Linked DNA regions of Drosophila melanogaster. Changing the gene in region 2 together with the main gene of any one other region gives a genetic interaction. Each region holds a gene or a part of one and is shown on either strand. Other genes may lie near its edges.

What was found.
Region 1: of E(bx) (region 2) and Trl, changing one suppresses a phenotype caused by changing the other (phenotypic suppression), as found in Drosophila melanogaster (one study listed by BioGRID).

Annotation. Positions count from the first base shown.
Region 1 is NT_037436.4:14,754,921-14,759,667, reverse strand, and holds the start of Trl (Trithorax-like), read left to right. Parts: upstream 1-1,705; 5' UTR 1,706-1,826; exon of another isoform or gene 1,827-2,184; intron 2,185-2,331; exon of another isoform or gene 2,332-2,337; 5' UTR 2,338-2,572; coding exon 2,573-2,764; intron 2,765-4,747. UniProt on the Drosophila melanogaster protein: Transcriptional activator that functions by regulating chromatin structure. Overcomes the repressive effects of chromatin by promoting the open chromatin conformation in promoter gene regions, thereby allowing access to other transcription factors.
Region 2 is NT_037436.4:243,904-248,654, reverse strand, and holds the start of E(bx) (enhancer of bithorax), read left to right. Parts: upstream 1-1,742; 5' UTR 1,743-2,272; intron 2,273-2,331; 5' UTR 2,332-2,438; coding exon 2,439-2,727; intron 2,728-3,179; coding exon 3,180-4,751. Other genes in the region: mthl14 (methuselah-like 14), read right to left, coding at 34-453, 539-654. UniProt on the Drosophila melanogaster protein: Histone-binding component of NURF (nucleosome remodeling factor), a complex which catalyzes ATP-dependent nucleosome sliding and facilitates transcription of chromatin.

The DNA of each region.
Region 1 (4,747 bases), about 15 Mb from region 2:
TTTCAAACAGTCGAGCTGGCGCACGGTGGGACAAAAGCGTTGTTTAAAAGTTTTAATGTTTTAAAGTTTCATACATTTTAATAAAATACAAAAATTTAATTTGAAAATCTTTAACTAACGTACGGCCAAACGCACTATAAAAACTAGCCAATGGAAAAAATAGTCCAGTAACGCTTATACAATTTGTTTACAAAAACCAGTTATACAATGTATTCCAAAATTTTACATAGTAATTCTATTCCTACCACTTATGTTTTGTATCCCACTGTGCTTGGTTTGCACTCATTCCTCCACCTCTGCCGAGTCACCCACCACCAACACCCCCCAGCGCGCACGCTCTCCCTCATTCTCACATCATGCTCCGTTGGTTGGTATTGCCAGCTACGAAACATGAAACATGCTCACTGCTTTAACGCCGATTGGAACTTTAAAGGGGCATTTCGAACGGCATTTCTCATGGCCCCTTCCCTGCCCAGCAGCATCATAACAGAGAAAATTGTAATCTTAAAAATTTGGACACTCGCTCACTTTATATTACTTTCTTCTCTGAGCGTTGGCTAGAAGTGCCACTCTCCTTCTCCTTCAATTCCAAATTCGACTAACTTCCCTATCGCGGGGTCTCTCCGCTCTTAAGCTGGACTTGATCTGCATACGAGAATGAGACTGGCTATATGTTTTTACCCCGTAGGGTCTCGGTCTCTGAGATGTGTCAAAAGTAACAGGTGATTGGATTGGATTCGAAAGGAGAGAGGAGAGTTAGAGACAGGGGAAAGAGAATGTAGAGCGTAAGAGCGAACCGGCTTTTCTACCATTTGTTATTATTACTTTCACAGGATCTGTTAATATTTCGGAACCGAAGAGAAACCCAGTCCCGATACATGTCTATTTTAATCTAAACCTATCAGATTCTTTTGATTCCTGTGTAACCCTCAGTAGCATTACACTTGTTCCCAGAAAAATGGAATCTGGTATCTTAAAAAGAAAACTGAAAGTAATTTATTCTGAACCCAATACCCTTCTAGATTTTGGTGATCAAACATAATAAATTGTTAGATTAGGGACTCGTTCTACGAAAATCTGCTTATCGATTTAATCATAGCTAATGTTGGAATTTATTTTTAATACAATTGCTCGATACCTTAGCTAGAATAATTCAAAAACGTTCTGAATTGTTTATCCTTCATTTTTAAACTGTAAAATTTGAGCTTATTCAGAGTGGAGTAGTATAAGAAAATGTTGAATATTTTGATACCGGATCCGATAGTTATAGAACCGGAACCTACGGATCCCGTTGACCTTTTTCTTATCGCACTCTGATATTCCAACCGGTCGGACACATGTGTTTTTCATCCGTGAAGTCGGCCCAGAATATTTCCATCATTCAATATTTACCACCTTTTATAGTTTTGTTTACTATCTTGCCGACTTTTTTGTCTTGCCGTCTTGCTCTCCTCTCCATCCTAAAAATACTCTTCCTGCGCTCCATCTGGCAATGCCGCTCGACAACTGTACTTCAAAGAGCGTTGCCAGGCAGGTCACTTCTCTCATAGATACACAGATACAGGCGCGCACGCACACCAGCACGCAAAATAACCACCACCAGCAGTACAGAAATTACACATTTTCTCCCCGAGTAGAGAACTGAAAAACTGGCCGCGCTGGCAGCGCCGGAGCAGCGAAATTCGATCGAAACCATTTACTCAGTCTCAGTTCGAGTTATCCAACGTTGGCGAGCGGACAAACAAGCAGGAGAAAAAAGCGTACGGGCAAGAGAAAGAGAAGGCACAAAATCACCCACAGCCACTGAAATTTTCTTTTGCGCTCCGGTGAGAAGATAATTTCACAAACCAAAACCGAACCAACAAACAAAAAAAGTGCGCTCCGTGAGCGGGAAAACAATAACAAAATCAAGAGACATGCGATTATAAAACGAACAAAATAACTGAGTGACAAAAAAAAATTAAATGCGTGTCTCATGGCTTGACTGTACTGTGTATTAAAAAATGTGATTGTGTCGGCTGTCCGTCTGTCTGAGTTTGTGCGCGTGTGTGTGCTGTTGGCGTTTTTAAATGTGGCGCGCTATTTTTGTGTGATTTTTGTGGGCAGCAACGAATTTTGAAACATCAATTGTATACTAGTTGTCAGTCCCCTTGTGAAAAAGTCTTCTCCAACAACAAAATTCCTGTGAGCAGCCTACACACATGCGTTGTCTCGCTCTCGCGCGCTCTGGCCCCCAAAGAGTGCGAGAGCGGGAGAGTGAGACCGAGAAAGAGAGAGAGAGAGAGAGAGCTAATAACTAACGTCTGTACTCTTTTTCTTTTCCATTTTTCATTTCAGTTTCGAGAAAGCAGCGCGCCAAGCAGCAAGAAGAGGAAGAGCAAAGGGAGTTGGAAAAGCAGTGGCGTCGTGGAGGAGGAGTAGAAAGGGGATTTTTGCGAAAAATCCCAACTTGAAGAGAATTTTCCCCGTAACCGTTAAACATTAAATCGTCGTGTTGGAGACAAATAGCAGCGAATACGCTAGCAACGCTGGGGAGGAACAACAATTGTTGGATTTGGACGCGACCGCTTTGATGTCGCTGCCAATGAATTCGCTGTATTCGCTCACCTGGGGCGATTACGGCACCAGCCTCGTATCGGCAATCCAATTGTTGCGCTGCCATGGCGACCTCGTCGATTGCACGTTGGCCGCCGGCGGGCGGAGTTTTCCCGCCCACAAGATAGTCCTGTGCGCCGCCTCCCCCTTTCTGCTGGACTTGCTAAAGGTAAGTGCTCGGTTCGGAAACACTGCCTAAAACACCTTTCAATAAGAGAGCTTGTACATAACCTCAAACGTTTCGTACAGTTTGTAAACAGAGAAATCCAATCGCAGAAATAGGTTAATGTTTGGAGCGCAGAGAAACTGACACTCGCACGCAAATGCATACATATGTATAAATAACGCAGATTTACGCTCCGCTCCAAAAGTTGTCTAGAGATTTTTGTACAAGTTTTCCACTGTCAATTGAGTTGAATGAGTGGCTCCGCCCCCCGCATTCCCGCCGTCTATCTTGCTTATCAGCTTTTTCTTGTTGCAAAGTTCACCGGAGAACGAGAGAGTGAGACGTAGAGACAGAGCGCAGACAGAGAGGGAGAGAGCGAGAGAACCAGTTGGTTCGGTCGACAGAAAAGTGGTTTTGGGCCCGGTGGTGTAACAGAGAGGGGAGAGCCGAAAGCTGGTGCGCCAACTTTTAAATCGCATGTGTTAGAGCGAGCGCAAACGAGAGCGCCAAAAGCAGCGCGGCAACTGTTGTAGTTGTTGGATGGTTGGAGCTTTCGTCTTGCCTTTTGGTTCTTGCTGTTGTTGGGTGCACACGAGCGCGACCTCTTTCTTCACAGACAGAACTGTACAGTTGGCTCTGGCTAGGGGGAACTTGAAATATTGGGGGGAATATGGATACATATACAAAGATAATTAAAATTAAATTTGTATTGATTGGTTTGATTTCCTTAACCCATTTCCTAAGCTAAGTCTTTTGTATTTTGTATGTCACCATTTTAGATTGCTAGATTGATTGTCTAACAGCAAACTTCGCTCAATTAAAAGTTCCTGGACTTTAATAGACTTATCTACTTCAAATCTTTATTTAAACTTATAACATAGTGACCAAGTCCAGATTGTACCAAAGATAAGCAAGCCTGTCTGGTGCGCTTCCCTCGTATCGAATCCAACCCGTATTTCTATAAACTAAAGCATTTCATATTAGGAAGGCGCACTTTTAAATGGAGCTTGCAAGTTTTTTCATGAGCTGTATTGCGATACTGTACTTTTTAACAACTCATTTGCACTTTAACTTTGACGCTTTTCCGCCACTCTGTCGATTGTTCAAAGTGTGCGCTTAAGTATGAAAGTTGGACCGTCTTCAATGCGTGGCCCTATCGTAATGGAAATACTGACCAAAACAGAGCGCGGCCAGCGAAATGAAAACACCTGATGCGACGCCGACAGCGGCTACTCTGCGCTTCGCTCCCCCTTATTCTCAGCGCTCCTCATCTCTCCTCTCCTTTTCTGGGCCGTGAAAAAGTAAACAGAGCGAAATTTTTGAAAACGCCGCTCAGAGCCGTCGTGGGGAAATGTCAAAGAAAAAAAAAAAAAAACAAAAAGAACGGGACCAATGCGGCTGTGAACTCTGCAAGAGTCCGAAAAGTACAAGATGTACTGATCTCGTTACACTCACACACGCACGCAAAAACACATGGCGGTCGCTCTTTGTTGCTCTTGCTCCCTCTCCCTTGCTCCTACGGCAAATGGAATGCAACTCTGAAAAATCGATGAGCGAGACTTTGGTTGGAGGCAGAGTTCAAAGAGCGCAAATGGGAGTGCGGTGAGATGTGTCATTTCAAGAGATTGGCATTGGATGAAGGGAGGGTGTTGGTTGGTGAGTCCGTAAATGGAGAGGGGTTGTTTTCTGAGCAATGCTATATAATTAAATGTTTGGAGCGGGAGCGGGAGCGGGAGAGGACACAGAAGAAGAACAGCTAAGCGCTCTTTCTTTAAGCGCTGCTCTGTTTTCTTTTTCAGCATCTGAAATCTCAAAATCCTGCTGCAGAATGTGCAGAGCGCGCAAAAGTAAAAGCCGGTTGTCTTTTGTCTGTGTCACTGTGTGCGTGAGCGGAGGAGAGTGTGAGCGACGCGTCGCACCGCGAGTTTCCATTATTTCCATCTCCGTCCGACTGTTTTTGTTATTGTTTTTATTTGGATTGGCGGA
Region 2 (4,751 bases):
TACTTTGATTCAATTTAACATTCGCTTTCATACCTGTTGCACGGATTTCCAATGTCGTAGTCGAGCGTAGTCTCAACCTCCAAATCTTCAATGCAGTTATCGAACAGAACTGCACTTATTATAGTCGGTTCGAAGCTTAAGAGCCCGTTGTCGCACATCGAATCGCTTTGATTTTCCCGATATATATTTAAGTTTTCTCCATGTGGGCAGCATTTTCTTAAACGAGACGATGGTGTTGCAACTGGTTGCTTTCTGTACTTTTCCCGTTGAGAACAGTCCGCCGGATCTAACGGGTTGTCTACAGGACTTTGAACAGGAACAGAGGTTGCGAACCTAGCACCTGATATTGTTGCAGCTTCTGTCGAATATGTTTGAGGTACAACCAGTGTTGAATGTATTGAGGCGTCCAGAACGTCAATCGAAGTGCTATTGAATGTGTCTTCATGGAAAATACTAAGCAAAGCAAAATATATTATAGAAAATGCAAAGATTCCAAAATTAGTATTTTTCGAAAACAAATATTTTGAGTATTTCTTACTTTGAGTTGTTTGATCCCTTCGAACTGTTATTTACAGTGCTTATCTGTGCGGAGGCGTTAAAAAACGTTTGTAAACTGATTAGAGCTAGGAGAAAATTCCAGTGGCCTAGATTCATATTGCCTTTTCAACCAATCTACAAAAAATATATAGCATAAAATGAATAAAACAAAATTGCCGAGTTCGTTTACACAGAAAGTATGTAAACAAACCAAATTTTGACATTAGTTAGGTGGTGTGGGAACTGGTAAGATATGGGCTATCTTATCTGTGTAAGATACCAGTAGAGTGCGTTATCATAATATAACACATGACGTCAGACGAATGTGGTAGCACATTCCTTAGAATTGATCAATACTCGGAAAATTACACTCATCAACTTATACAAAACCGCGTTAAATGTCAATTTTTGCGCACTGATTATTTGATTAGATCATATTTTATTCAATTATTGTATTTTTAAAAATAAACTATTTATGGCAATTATTGTTTACGTACATGTCAAATAATTTATGCTTGCTATTTAAAATGCAACCACTGAGCTTGATTAATAAAGTAATACTAGCGAAAAAGAAGTTTTAATTCTGCAATGGAATCACTTTGTGCAGGCGATAAGATAACGATGTTTTCAGGGCTTCAAAGCAAATTGTTTACCCTAATTTCTTTAACAATAACACATTTCTCAACAAACACAATTAAAATACTTTAATTTAGTATTTTTAGAATAATTTTTTAAAAAATTTAAGTAATAATAATATAAAAACCTTTCCCAGTAAACAAAAAATCGTAACGGCAACTTATTATCGATAACATTTTTAATGGATTTTTCGTGGTCGGCAATTTACGAAATGAGATCACCAGGATTTAAAATGCGAAATTGGGTAGAATGTAATACACTAAAATAAATTTACAAAAAAATACATTTTTTTTACCGCATCAAAAATACCGTTTTAATTTTTAAGATAGTGAGCAAAGGTAAGTTTATTTTGATTACAAGTTAACGGGTTTTCTTTAAACGCCCGCTCAACACGTCGATAAAAATAAAAATACATCTGTCAGTGCGGTTCAGCGTAAATGCCAAAAGCAACCCTGCCTATATCGTTTGTGCAACCATAAAGAATTAGTTCTCCAAGCCGACCGCAAGAGGACGCTTCTGACTTCACGCAATAGAAGAGTCGCTGTGATTGGCCGACTGTACACCGTCTTTAGCTATGTTCAAAACTGTAATGTTAGGTAAAAGTCTCTTTCGCAGTGTGCTGAAGATAGTTAAAAATATTAGAATATATCGTGTTAAATCCTGTGCAATTATTCCGCAACATGCTGGGTAATTTGCGCAGTTAATCCATGTGTTAATTGTGAAAGAAGAGTGACATTTAAACAGACGCAAAAATTTTCACGGTTGCTTAAATGGCGGACAATGTGCGTTGGCTTCATTTCATCGCACTCGCACACATACAATCGAACTTGGTGGTGCTGTCCAGTGCGTTTGCCGTCCAACACTAGAAGCCAAGAATGTGTTTTGAATACATGTACTTAATGTATTTAATCGGAACCGTTATTCTGAACTAAACAAGCTCTTTTGGCGGGTTTTTTTCAACTCCAAATTTGCGCAATACAAAGAAAGTGAACACCCAACGACAAACTTTTGACGATCTGATCGATTTTTCCCCCACATACGCTGTTGAGTAAATGTGTGTTTGAATGTGCCCCGTAAATACATAGCTAGCTGAGTGCGAGTGAGATGCGGTGTGCGTTCCTGTGGCACCGTGTACTAATGGGTTAATTTTCGTTTCAGATCTAATGTGCAGCCTCGCAGCATTAACTTGGAACAATATCTGAGGAGAGTACCCCCACGCACCCCTGCACACAGCCAGATAAATACGCAAGGCGAAAACAAACAAGATGAGCGGTCGCGGCAGCCGTAAACGTGGACGTCCGCCAAAGACGCCCAACGAACGCGCATCAGGACGCTTCAATTACCAGCTTCTCAAGAAGCCGAAGTATCTCAGCGAGGGAAAGTCGCAGCCCAGCACTCCGTCGGCATCCAGGGGCATTTCTCCACAGAGCGACGAGGGCAGCAGGAGCAGCCACAACAACCACACCAATCGCAGTCGCGGGAGCGCCGCTAAGAGGGGACGAGGCCGCAAATCCGCCGTGCAACCGAACACCAGTAGCTACTCTGGAAGGAAAGGTGGGTTAAAGGGGCACCTAAACTCTAACTTGGGAGTCAAGACTTACAGTTTCGCTCTGACTAGTTCGAAGATTAATAGGGAACATAATGTGCCATATATTGATTGCAGTGGAGAAAACTTTGATCGTTTTGAATGGTACTCATACTTCAAACGAGTTTTCCTGTGCGTTAAAGAGCTTCCGCTTCATAAAAGATCAAATTTAATATTTTCGTGACAACCACTACCGGGCGAGTCAGTTTCGATAGGTCTATCTGCTCTAATACCAACGATTATTTTTGAAATCTTACGACAAAAAATCTTTCAGTCTAGTTGGCATGAGTTTAATAACAATTACTTAAATACAATTCAGTAGAAATTGGGTCCACAATAGCAGTGACAGTATGTCAGGTTTTATGCACTTAGGTGTTGGTGAAATCATATTGGTTCTAAGAGCTACTGTTCCTCTTTTCAGGGTACGAGTCGGAGTATCACTACGGGTCAGATTTTGGGGATTCCGAAGAAGATAAATCCGATAATGAGGATGATATGCTGCTTACTCCCAGCGACGACGAGAGCCTAGAAGTAGCCAACGAGAGCGAATCAGAGTTTTCCGTGTGCAGCTTTAACCAAAATGGAGTTGGTCGGCCGCCACGTCCTCCTAGCCCAGAACCTGTGTGGCTGCAGGAAGGTCGTCAGTATGCAGCGCTTGATTTGCCGGACTCGTCGGAGGATCTTTTCATTGCTAATACACACGTTTTGCGCGCGCTAAGTATCTATGAAGTACTGCGACGATTTCGCCACATGGTCCGCCTTTCACCATTCCGATTTGAAGACTTGTGTGCAGCGCTGGCTTGTGAGGAGCAAAGTGCATTATTGACGGAGGTACACATAATGCTGCTTAAAGCGATTCTTCGAGAAGAGGACGCGCAGGGTACACATTTTGGCCCGCTGGATCAAAAAGATACGGTTAATATAAGTCTTTACCTGATTGACTCTATAACGTGGCCGGAAGTTTTGCGAAGCTATGTAGAAAGCGATAAGACATTTGATCGCAACGTGTTTCACATTTTAAGCCACACTGAATACCCTTACACGGGCATTGACAACCGGCTTGAAGTGCTCCAGTTTCTGTCAGATCAATTTTTAACTTCCAATTCTATACGAGATGTAATGCTGCAGGAGGGACCTATTCATTATGATGACCATTGCCGAGTGTGCCATCGGCTCGGTGATTTATTATGTTGCGAGACGTGCCCTGCTGTCTATCATTTGGAATGTGTAGACCCGCCAATGAATGACGTACCTACTGAGGATTGGCAGTGCGGGCTTTGCCGCTCGCATAAGGTAAGTGGCGTAGTGGACTGCGTGTTGCCACAAGAAAAACAAGGCGTGCTAATCCGGCATGATAGCCTCGGTGTTGATCGTCATGGGCGCAAATATTGGTTTATTGCACGTCGCATTTTTATCGAGGATCAGGAGAACTTTACATGCTGGTATTACAGTACGACAAGTAAGTTAAAATTGCTGCTCAGTCGACTGGACGCCGAAGAACTGGAAACTCGTCTGCATAGCCAGATTACAGAAAGGAGAGACGAAATCGAGCGCCAAATGAAACTGACTGAGACCTTAACCAATGAACACAAACACACGAAGCGTAGTGTTATCGAAATCGAACAAGAGGCTAAAAATGAACTTTTGGAGAAAGAGGTGCTTGACGAGGATGAAAAAGATGGTGATGCTAAATCTGAGAGTCAATCTATAGAGGGAACAAAAAAACAAGAAGAATGTAAAATGGTCACGCGTCAAAAATCCAATCAGCTGACTAATGGTACTTTGCATTTTAAACTTGGCATGGAGCAAGGATTTAAGAACTATGTCAACCAGTATTCAACAAATCCAATTGCACTCAACAAGCCGCAACGAAACGAGGAGCGAGATAAGCGACGCCATCTGTCCCATAAGTTCTCGTTAACGACGGCTTCTGACTTTAAATGGATCGGTATAACCATGGGAACTACTGACAATATGATAACAACTCTAAGGC